Linked DNA regions of Oreochromis niloticus. The protein of the gene in region 2 purifies or fractionates together with the protein of the main gene of each other region. This does not show direct contact. Links are inferred from orthologs where the notes say so. Each region holds a gene or a part of one and is shown on either strand. Other genes may lie near its edges.

Region 1 (3,754 bases), on a different chromosome or scaffold from region 2:
TTCTCCACTGCTCTGTGTACAGACTAGTGACCTGTCCGGGTGTGCCCTGCCTTTCCCACTATTACAGGTGGGACAGTTTGGTCCATATTTTGTGGGACAAATATACCGGTAGAACACTGCATTTAATTTAAGCAGCTTTACAAAAACCACAGTCATCTTTATACACATGTCCCATTTCAGAGGTTCAAAAAATTAACAGACAATTGACTGACAAGTAGTCTGATAGCTGGGTGAGGCCTGTTCAACTGTCATTCCATAACAAATAAAGCAGACATAATATCGAAATCTGAATTCAGAGTGTTGATTTTGTCATTTAAATGTGAGACCCAAAAGAGATGTCAGTGCAAGCAGAGCTGCATGTGCATCTGAAACTGAATTGTAATCTTAAAAATGCATGTTCCACCAATAGACAGGTATGTTGTTCCCTCATGTAGTTATTTTTCCAGACTGTCAAAATCTGTGCTCTATGCAAAATGTCACAGGGGAACTAGAGGAGGCTCTCACAGCTGTCCATGAACCAATTTAAAAGGATAAACCTAGCTCAGTTTTGCATAATATTCATTTATTCTCTTTATAAGCTTAATGGTGCACCACGGCTTCTTCATGTGGCCCCATGGGAAAATTTGTTGCCCACCCTGCACCCTGTTGCACTTTGGTATACAGGTATATTTATCATGTCTCCAACTGAAGAGTGGCAAAAGAAGAAGAATGCCAGTTCACATTTGCAACAACTGTGACAGAACATCAACATGCCTATGAAGATTATGTGGGTGTTGCAGGTCAGTTAGAATGCTCACCCTAAGGCTTCAAAACAAGACCTCAGGCGATTTCCCGGTAGCACTGATAATCTGTCTATGCTTCAAGCAGTCAGCTCTCCTCTCATCCAGAGCCACTAGATTTTACACAGGCACTGCATCCACCAGCTTAGCTGCAGTGTTTCGGTTCTGATTCAGTTCTGACAATGCCTGCGGTCCAGTATGCACTCATCACAACAATCTGTTATTATAAGCTGTTCTTGTTTCTGTTGTCAGCCAGCAGTACAGCAACAATGACAGAACATTAGCAATAATGTATTCAACCCTGTACTATTAAACTATTTTCCAGTCTGCTTCTCTCCACAGCAAAGTCCCAATTTTATAGCTAACAAGTAGTCTCATAAAAGCTGCCTTGACATCAGTTAAAGTCTAGGCTGTTCTATGATTTCAGCTATATTCACTTGTAAAATGACTTATGTGAGAAAGTTTGACGTCACATGAGCCTAAAGTGGATGTGCTGACGATGTGCACTTGTCCCAGGCTGGCTACACATGTAACAAATATTACCTCGCCTTCAAACCAGCAACTTTCAGGGACGAGGCCGAAACAGAGTGCGCACATAGAGCGTGGAAGGACATCTGCTAGGATCAGACGATATGAAACATAAGTGAGTTTCATAGTTTCGGTGAGTGACTGTTACAGTATGCAAACCTTATAGCCTCTCCACCAAATGTGAAAGTCAGCCTAACCCTGGTGCTTGATGAGGACGACTCCAAACTCACTAACTTAATGGATGCTCTTATAAAGCAGGTGACTCTATAATGCCAAACTGCACTGATGGGAATATCAATTTCTCATTTTTGTGCTTATAGCACAAAAGCAGCACGCCCCCAGAGAAGACACGCACCGATGGAGCGAACCTCTTCTTAACTACAGCGTAGAAAAAGGTGGTCGGAAGTTGTGCTGGGTTGAATTTTCGGCTATTTGTTGGCTTCTACAGAGCTCTTCTAGCAGAGTAAGCGCAATACTGACGCCTCAGAGCTGCTGTGGCCGTACACCGGCAGCTCTCTGAACACTTACCTGAGCCGTACTTAACGTCGTGGGAGTGCAGTCGGACGTTGTGTCTGGTGTTGAACAGTTTGACTAGAGAGCCGCAGGTCACATAGCTGAGCTCCGAGTCTCGTCCTTCACAGCTGGACCACAGCAGCAGGAAGAGCAGCGACCTGATAAGCCCGCGGATTGTACCGACCACCTCCATCTTTGTGTCTCTGCTGTCATGACCGGCACTCACTTCCGAACCGTAGTGCTGCTTTCCACCAATCACCACTTGACAAGTCCTAAAATACGGAAGACAATGTCAACGCGTGATTGGTCAGAATAGGCATATGCGTCGTCACAACAGTTAACGCCAAACAGTAGTAGGAGTCATGCAGAAGCAGCTCCACCCCTCCAACGTTATTCCCGGTTTAAACTGCCTGTGCCTCTGATGATGCTGATGATGATGAGTAGAGGACCCTGGTACATTCGGCTCATCTGTCCTGGGAACTCAGATGAGCCGAAACAGACAAGATAAGATGTGGTTTTGCCACGCAGATGGATTCAGATCAAATCTACTTAACGAATACTGTGAACAGTAAAATAGAAAAAATCTTCTCAAAAGATGAAATAGCATTTGGTGATGTTTCAGGCCGTCACTGACCGCAAAGGCTGTTCCTCCAGATAGCTATCACCTGTTACCAGTTGGGAGTGAGGGGAAGGGAGAAGAGAGCGGAGGAAGATGGGACAAAGGACACACATGGCACCCACCACATGTACAATTTAACATACACAGTAACCTGTCTAGTATAGATGTGTTTATGTGATGTAATTTAGAAGCAAATTTCTATACATATAGACAGAGAAAAAATATGTTTTAATTATATATTGTCTTTACCAAGAAAGGGCACTTATGTTCATGCCAGTGCACTGAATCATTATGCTGCCATCATTGATAGTCAGCTGTCAGTCTCTGATCTCTCTTCTGGCCTTTCTGAAACTTTTAAATAACATAGTTATTGTCACTTTGTATTGATAGAATCCAGTTGCCCTCTGAGAACTGGGCAATACTTAATTTGATCCAAAAACACACTGAATGTAATATACCCGATCATTATGAAGATCTTGGCAATGGTCACTGGTGGAATATTCTTCGATTCTAACACATGCACACACAAAGAGTGAGAGAGGAAAAGGTGAGAGTGGGACAGAAGGATAAACAAAATAGCAAAGAAAAGAATATAATTAAATGTAGGAGAAAAGAATAGATAGAATCAGAACAGAGGTTCTGTCTCCTTTGGGTTTATTTTTACATAAGATCGACTCACAAAGTGTCTGGGAGAAGACGTGCAAAGTAAAAGACGTATAAAACCATCAAATGTAATCTCATAAACTGCCAATAGTGAAATTTAAACTATCCTAAAATCCTAAATCCTAAAATCCCTAAAATCCCCAAAATCCCTAAAACATACCTATATGGATTTACTGTATTTTAGTATTTGACTCAAATAAATGTTTTTCCTGCAGATTGATTGACTCTGCCTGTTAATCATCACACAGGCCATCTTTGTTTTTTAAACAGAATTATACGTTACATGAGTGGTGTGCGGTGACTTTTACACAAGGCAAGCATAAAAACATCCCATTAAAAATGAGTCACTGGAATTAAAATGTTTATTTTACTGTTCTGTGCATTAAACTATCAGACTGATGATTTTCTGCAGCATTAATTACGTTCTGCAACAGTGCGGTATTTTGTTTGCGTTTTGTTTTTATAGATTTTTAATCACCATCTCATAATGTCGCTGACTCATTAGTAGGATCAGATATTAGGACTCATAAGGATCACCATGTGCTGAGGAAAAGTCACATGATGCGTGAAACGCTCTTTGTTATGTGACGATGCTCAGAGCCCGAAGCAAGCCGCTATTTTGTCTATCTTATGCTAAAAAAGAATGGTTTGT
Region 2 (3,754 bases):
AAGCTAACTTAGCTGTTAAAGTTCCTGTTCAGACCTGAAATTACACCTGCACTGAGGAGCTTCAGGCTCGTCTCATTCTACCGTACAGCATGAACAGTGGATGGCTGCAGTGGAGAGATGAACAGTCTTTGTTCATCACGTGCCACATAAAACCTTCCCAAGGCCTTCAGCCCACGGGCCACAGTTTGGGAATCCACGGTATCTGAGGCCCTGGATGCAGGAGACCGAGAATATCCAGGAGTACCAGACCTGGCTTAGTGACTATCTCCTACTCTTGGAGGGCAGTCCTGCCTTCTGGGCAGTCCTGCTAACAAATCAAGGAGGTAAGTTACTGCTAAACAGTTAAATGTCCCATCAGCCAATCGCAGCACTGTTTATACAAATAGTGAAGAACTGAGTTGATAAACACTGACTCCCATGGTGCATTTCAGCAGGAACCAACTAATGAAGGAGTTCAAATTCAGTCTGAAGATGGCACTGATTTTAAATATGTTTTACTAACAGCTGCAACATATCAGTGATTTCACTGTGTTCCTCAGGATTGTGGCCAGATTTTAGAGAAAAAGCAGCAGATTTGGATAAAACATTTATTCTTCGAAATAAAAGTTCCTCACACGGTTGAATTTTTTGAAATGTGCGTCACGTTATGTCCAAAAAAAATTCCAAAACTTAAGATGCTGATGTCAGTGAAACAGGAAATGCTTCATCAATTCTTCATCTTCATACTCTTTTTATTCCGCGCCTCAAATCAGAGCAGCTGTCAGAGAACAGGAAATTGGAAGCTTGGAGCATCAGATAGCGCTCAGAGCAGGATATTAACGCCGCATACGGATAGCGAGGATAACGAGGATAACGAGGTGGAGGAGAACCCGTAACACTGTAAACCCGCCACGTTACTTCACAACTATCTCGACCCTGAACAGGAAATAAAAGTCTGCAGCTTCCAGATGATTTTACAGGGACAGGAAACAGAAACTCGCAGACAGGAAGTCGCTGGTCCTTCACAACACGCTGACTTTAACTGTGAAACCAACGCGTGCTTTATAAGTGTCCACAGGTGACATGTCACAGGGCCATTATCATCTCGCCATTTTCACTCCCGTGAATAGCGCTGCATGACAAAAGTGACATCATGTCTCTGCTGGTCAGGCACCTCTCTGTTTTTGTAATCTCACTTGTTTTACTGTGCCCACAAAAACGACACACAGTAAGCCCAAATGGACATGTCTGTGCGATGATGTCAACAGCTGATGGACTACACCCACAGGGGGTGCTATAGTAACCTCTGGCTTCAGCAGAAACATCAGGAACATCTGGCTTCACACATAACCACTCAGTTACTTTATAAAGAACAGACTGAGCATGTGCAGGAGGTGTTCCTTCACTCAGATTGCAGGAATAAAGGCATTGCTCTTAATACTTGTAAGTGTAAAGTTGATTTACCCATATACACCAGCTAAGTGTGAGTCTGTATGTGTGTGTGTTTGTGGCATGTGTGTGAGACTGTGTGTGCATGGGGGGGAGAGTGTGTGAGTCTGTGTGTGTCTGTATGTGAGTCCGTCTGTACGGTGTGGGTGTGAGACTGAGTGTGTGAGTCTGTGTCTATGTGTGTGTGTGATGCTGCAGCCGACTGACCCACTTTCCGCAGACACATCGAGCTGCTAGCTGTCGCGTGTCCGCCGCGTGCGCGCGTGCACACACACACACACATACACATACACACACCTCCCTCCTCCCCCTCCCCGGTTCCTGCGGTCGAACAAAGCCGCTGCGGCCGGAAGTGCGGCTCGTTACCTGGGTGAAGCAGAGCAGGTGGAGCGCGAGGAGCAGCGGGTGCACCATGGTGCGCGTGTCCCGGTCAGCACGCACGATCCCGGGCCTTCTTCCTCTCAGTCTGCTGCGCATCCAAACAATGGCGCCTCCTCCTCCTCCTCCCGCTGCTGCATCGGAGCGCGAGCCGCGCCGCGCGCACAGGTCTGTGTCCGCTCCGCTTCTCTGAGCGCCCACCGCCTTCACCATCAGAACCGCGGGAAGCAGCACTGGACCGGCCCACACTCAGAGACAGGCCGGGCAGCGGGGTCCATGCCGCGGCCCGCAGACGCCAGCAGGTCGGTGACGGTGTCGGTGATGGAGCTGCTGCTGCTGCTGCTGCGCGCTGACGCCCCGCCCTGCGCCCCGGAGCCGCTCCTCCTCCTCTTCATCAGCTCCCACTGAGAGGCGCTCAGTCTGAAATTACTCACGACATCCTGTCTCCAAACTTTATTTCACCGCAAACATAAAAAACACAAGGAAGAAAGCACAACCATCACGTGATGTCACATCACACATTAACATCACATCGCATCAGAACTCAGAGTAACAATAACTCACAGAAAGTAACTGTAGCTCAGGGTAAGTAACTGTAACTCAGATTAAGTAACTGTAACTCAAGAGTTACTGTAACTTAAAGTAAAGAGCCAGCATGTCTGGCTGTCTCTGTACTCAACAATAAGATTTTAGTAAAAATGATGATTCCAAAACAGATTTGTTGTTTTTTCAGATGGAGACAGAAATGAACAGCGCCTGAACATGAAGCAGTATCCACATGGAAGCCAGGCGTCTTCACACAAACCAATGTGCAAGCACAGAGACAAAAACATGTCTGCCTTTAGAAGCTGGAGAACATCTCTCACACATGGCTCCATGTCCGTTTTTAACGACCAACACTATGAGAGGTTCCAGTATAAACACAAGATCATGATGAAAAATAACTGTTACCTACCAAAGACCCAGCACAAAATACCTACTCCCCTAAGAGTTCTGTGGATGTCCACAAACTGACCACACTGTCAGGTCAAACGTGTGATACCAGCGGAGCTCCACAGCGCCCTCTCGTGTGGCAGTAACAAACAAGGTGACAACCAGCCGAGCTGGGTTAATGCTGGTCAGCGTTCTTAGAACCAGAGACAGCAAAGAGTGATGAGAAATCCAGGTTAGCCCGCTGATCGCGTGTAAGTCCTGTTCCGGCAGAGGCTGCAGACCAAGCCAAACACTCTGTTTATCACACACTGTCTGCTCTGGGATCTCTGTGACGTCATAGAGGTCAGACGTCCTTAGATGTGAGGGAAAGTAAAAAAAACAGTCCTTCCATTCAGAGCAACTGGACTTTGATCAGCTGTTTGTGTCACTGCTGTTTCCTTCTCCATGACGCTGAAGCGACGGAAAATGAATTTTATTTTGAAAGGAAGAAATTCTTTTTCCAAAAGTTGCAAACAGTCATAATGATCCTGGAACAGCAGCAGGAACTGGAAGCTTTGTCTGCTTCAGGTGAGTCTGTCTTCACGACCTGAAGACTCATCATGAGCCTGCTCCACCCCCTGCTGGTGGAAACCACGCATTACCAGACTGCTGCTTCATCTGCTGTCACCACATCCAATAAACATCCAGAAAACATGACCACTACACACGTGAGGTCTGTAGTCATGGAGTATTTCTGGGCAGATAGTGTCTCAGCACATCAGAGACTGCCTACCTCCTCCCTCGAACCCCCCCAATTTGCATCAAGAGCAAACGGCAGAAGCCATCACCCTTCACAAAATGCTGAGCCATCTGGAGACTAGGAAGAGCTAGTGAGGATTCTCTTGGTGGACCACAGCAACACCATAATCCCAGACATCCTCACCTTCAGATCCCCTGTGCCATCTGCTCCTGGATCAAAGACTTCCTACCCAACCAGCCTTAATCAGTCCGACTCAGCCCCCACCTCACCCCTCAA
Region 3 (3,754 bases), on a different chromosome or scaffold from region 2:
AGAAGATATCGCTGTGAGAGCTGTGGTGACCCTCTTTGAGCCCGTCTTCTCCATACATGTCATACTGTTTCCTTTTCTCCTCATCTGAGAGGACCTACAAACAAACAACCTGTCAATCACCAACAGCCACAAGCCGCAGTCTTTGTTCTCTCCGCTGATACAACGTGTGGAGTGTCATCATTCAATGTAAAAATTAAACAAAAAAAAAAAAACATCGATGGGCTCTTCAAAGCTGTGTTAGTTTTTGAAATTGATTTTGATTCATTAAACAATGAAATGAAAAGTCAGTCAGCTGTTACTACTAAAACAATCTTAACGCTTACGTATAAAATATACACTTTTTCTTGATTTTCAAATACAAATATGAGAATACAAACAGGTGACCCATTAGAAGGAACAGCCAGCAATTACATTGAGGCTGTAGAAGTGCTTTCACCTGAGAAAAGCAGCAATGGCTCCATTCTTAGAAAATGATTAGATTTTAGAAATTCACAGCAAACGTTTCAAAAGAAAAGAAAAAAAAATCTGCTCTCATCTGCATGGAGTAGCACTAATGGCTGTTGCTACTGCTAATCAGCTCGTCATTGTCTCCCATTGTTTCAATCACAGACTATAGATAAAAGATGCTCTCCCATCATTAAGCATCAAGTTGAACCTCATTTCTTTTGTCAACCTTTTTGAAACTAGATATATGTGAGAGGCAGATCAGACTGTACCGAGAAATAATCTTCTTGACTCTAACAGTGAGCATAATTTACAACATGAAGATTATGCTGTAACAGGACTTGAAACTAGTAAGTGAGACCCTCAACCAATGAAGAAGGGCTGTTTTCCCTCATTCAGCAACAACAGGCAAAAATCCAAGTGGGGACGTCCCAGTTAAACTTTTCAGCTTCAAGGTGAACATCTGAAGAGACTACCAAAGAATGTTGGATATGTTGCTGTTTCTACAATCAGTAACCCATTTTAAATTCTGGCTTTGAAATATTTTTATTTGTTATATATTGTACCACTACTTTAGATTTCTTTAAACAAATAACAAAATGAACCATAAAGTTCAGTAGGTATCTTTTTTGTGCCTGAGGTACCTCAATAATAACAATTAAAAAAACAAAACAAAACAAAACAAAAAACAAAACAAAACAAAAAACACACAACTTAAAAAGAATTTATCTAGCTCTTGTCAATTATTTTCAAAACCGATACTTGCGTTTTATTATATTGTCATTCATTTAAATGTCCATTGACACGCCTCGACTAATAAAACCCGATTAATAACAAATTTCTGTTTTGTGTTACAAATCAGTGAACTCGCTGCGGCATCCTTCCGTTTTTAAAAGAAACGTGAACGTTTGACACGGAAACACCTGCAGCGCTTATCTGAATCCACTCCCACTCTTCCACGTCTGAATTTTCAATACACCAGCTGTGCTGCCTGACAGCCAATCAGATTCAGCCACACGGTCTAATCGTCCAATCGCAGAGATCTTACCAACAACAACCAAATTTCAGCCTTATAAAACAGTTGTATCGGCGTCTTGGGCGCTTTTATACTCACATATGATTAAATCTACACTACTGTAACCGAACACAGCTGATACTGGGGAAATATAACAGTCTTTTAACTCAAAAACAATTTCATTGTTGCTCATCGCGGATATCACTAGCATCATGTACACAACAATGGCTACACATCTACCTCATAGGCTGCCCCCAAGTCTGCGAACTTGTCCTGGGCTTGCGGGTCGTCTTGGTTTCTGTCGGGGTGTAACTGCAAAGCCAGCTTTCTGTAGGCCTTCTTGATGTCCCTGATTGATGCACTCTTGCTCACCCCCAAGATTTTATAGAAATCTCGCCTACAGGAGAGAGGAAGATAACACAAATGAGGCAGACACATGAGGCACAGAGGTAGAAGAAAAACGAGAAACCGTTATCAAATGGCAATGATGCTACTTTTAGATTGTAAAACACCGAGTTAGCTACAATCTCCGGGGGGTAAGCCAGTGTGGCTTCCATAGACAGTATGCAGCAGCTTCAGCTACCGTAATGGCTAGCTCCAAGCTAACTAGGCTAGGTAGTCACTTAAAACACGTCCCTTACAAGTGGTGGATACACTTTTTAATCAGTGAAGCGCAAAAGAGAACAAAAGCACTTATTAGCAAGTTAGCCCTGTGTCAGACTGTTCCACGCATGGAGAGCAGGTCTAGACCAATCACAGTGAAACATGTGTACCAGCTGGCGATGCTGTTTCGCCGCTGTCCGAGCGAACACCACTTACCCGGCAAGCACCGCTGTGGTAGCATAAAGAAGCAGGCAGCACACGTTACACAGGTTCATCCCTTTAGCAGCCATAGATCTCAGGATTTCTCACGGAGGTAGCAAAGAACAACCGGCTTTTTAAAGCTCGGATCCCAGCTGCCAGTCAGTCAGCCACAAGCCTTCTTCCTCCTGTCAGAGAAAGCCCGCCCACTGGATGTCGGCAAATCCTCCTCTCCCGAAAAACTCTGCCCAGCGTTAAAGAGACAGCTCACGTCGTTCTTCTCAACTCCTTCTTGTCAGTTATAACTGTTTGCACCGACGTTTTGTTTTGTTTTTTTGTTTTTGTTTTTTGTTACATGTATAAGTACAACTAATAAAAAACTGAACATTTTGGTGAATAAAAAAACCCGGACACCATGCTCATAGTGCAGGATGCAGCGCGCCCCCGCGAGCTGCGCGCAACAGATGTCTGCTGAAGTCTGAGTGGAGAGGAGGGCGCCAAATAGGAAGGACGGCAGATGTGCGTCTGACAGCTAACCAGGAACCACTGCACTCGTCCTCCTCTGTATACTCACCTATGAGTCCTTGACCTGTCGGTCCTTTTCTCATTCAGGCCGAAGATCCCAGTAACAGGACGAGGACACAAAGTCTGACACCAGAGGCGTGCTAGCTCAGCTAGCTAACTGGAGCTAAGCTAGCTGGCCAGCCCTACTTTTTTATATTGGAGTTAACTTTATGAGCAAATAGCAGTGCGCCTGGTATTACTGGTATTTGGCTTCCTTTCTTGTTGCGCCACAGCAAAAACAAGTGAGTTTTGTGCATATATTTACTGTGTTACTGGATTTGTGTTAGCTTAGTTTTGATTGGCTTGTCAAACTTGAAATTAGATGCCTAGTGTTGATGCACAAGCAGCCTGGTTGCCAGGAAGATATTTTTCACCCTGTAATTAAACGGTCATTTTTGAAGATTAGGTCTGTTGTCGCTGTACTAAAAAAAAAACAGCAATGAAAAGGTTCATGAAATGCGATGAGTTTTAAAAGAAAGTGAGTAAAGGCAGAACATTCTGCGCTGTATCTGAATTGATACACAGTTGTGTGTGTACAGAGTTAAAGTGGCCGGAGTATGAGTGACATGGTGAACTCAACAGTGTGGACAGAGGTTGAGTCTGTGCAAAATAACAAAGCATAATGTTATTGTAACTGTCCAGTTTGACCAGTTTAACTGCTAATGCTCCCCAGCTCTTTCCCTGGTTCGTGGCTAATAATCTTAATCCAGTAATTGCACTGTCATTGTGATTTAAAAGGTTTGGAAAAGTGCATTGTACTTACAGTGTCAAATACTCAAGTAATTAATTATCGGTGTATGTCACATGGTTTTGTACTCTGACTCTTCAGACATGGAGGCAAACGGCGTGAGCATATGGCCACGCATGGAACCCTTCCTACTTGGTGCCCTACAGGTAAATATACTCCCACCATGATATCAGCCAAGAGCT

What was found.
Region 1: the proteins of ptpro (region 2) and sdf2l1 purify together in Homo sapiens (affinity purification with mass spectrometry; 3 studies listed by BioGRID and IntAct, with this or other methods). This does not show direct contact. The link is inferred for Oreochromis niloticus from reciprocal best matches to the Homo sapiens genes PTPRO and SDF2L1.
Region 3: the proteins of ptpro (region 2) and dnajb11 purify together in Homo sapiens (affinity purification with mass spectrometry; 3 studies listed by BioGRID and IntAct, with this or other methods). This does not show direct contact. The link is inferred for Oreochromis niloticus from reciprocal best matches to the Homo sapiens genes PTPRO and DNAJB11.

What each region holds. Positions count from the first base shown.
Region 1 is NC_031977.2:3,588,690-3,592,443, reverse strand, and holds the start of sdf2l1 (stromal cell-derived factor 2-like protein 1), read right to left. Parts: upstream 2,727-3,754; 5' UTR 2,712-2,726; coding exon 2,689-2,711; intron 2,093-2,688; coding exon 1,836-2,092; intron 1-1,835.
Region 2 is NC_031981.2:22,790,534-22,794,287, reverse strand, and holds the start of ptpro (receptor-type tyrosine-protein phosphatase O), read right to left. Parts: upstream 2,202-3,754; 5' UTR 2,020-2,201; coding exon 1,795-2,019; intron 1-1,794.
Region 3 is NC_031987.2:32,688,666-32,692,419, forward strand, and holds the start of dnajb11 (dnaJ homolog subfamily B member 11), read right to left. Parts: upstream 2,497-3,754; 5' UTR 2,353-2,496; coding exon 2,279-2,352; intron 1,857-2,278; coding exon 1,700-1,856; intron 95-1,699; coding exon 1-94. Other genes in the region: tbccd1 (TBCC domain-containing protein 1), read left to right, coding at 3,656-3,718. UniProt on the Homo sapiens protein: As a co-chaperone for HSPA5 it is required for proper folding, trafficking or degradation of proteins.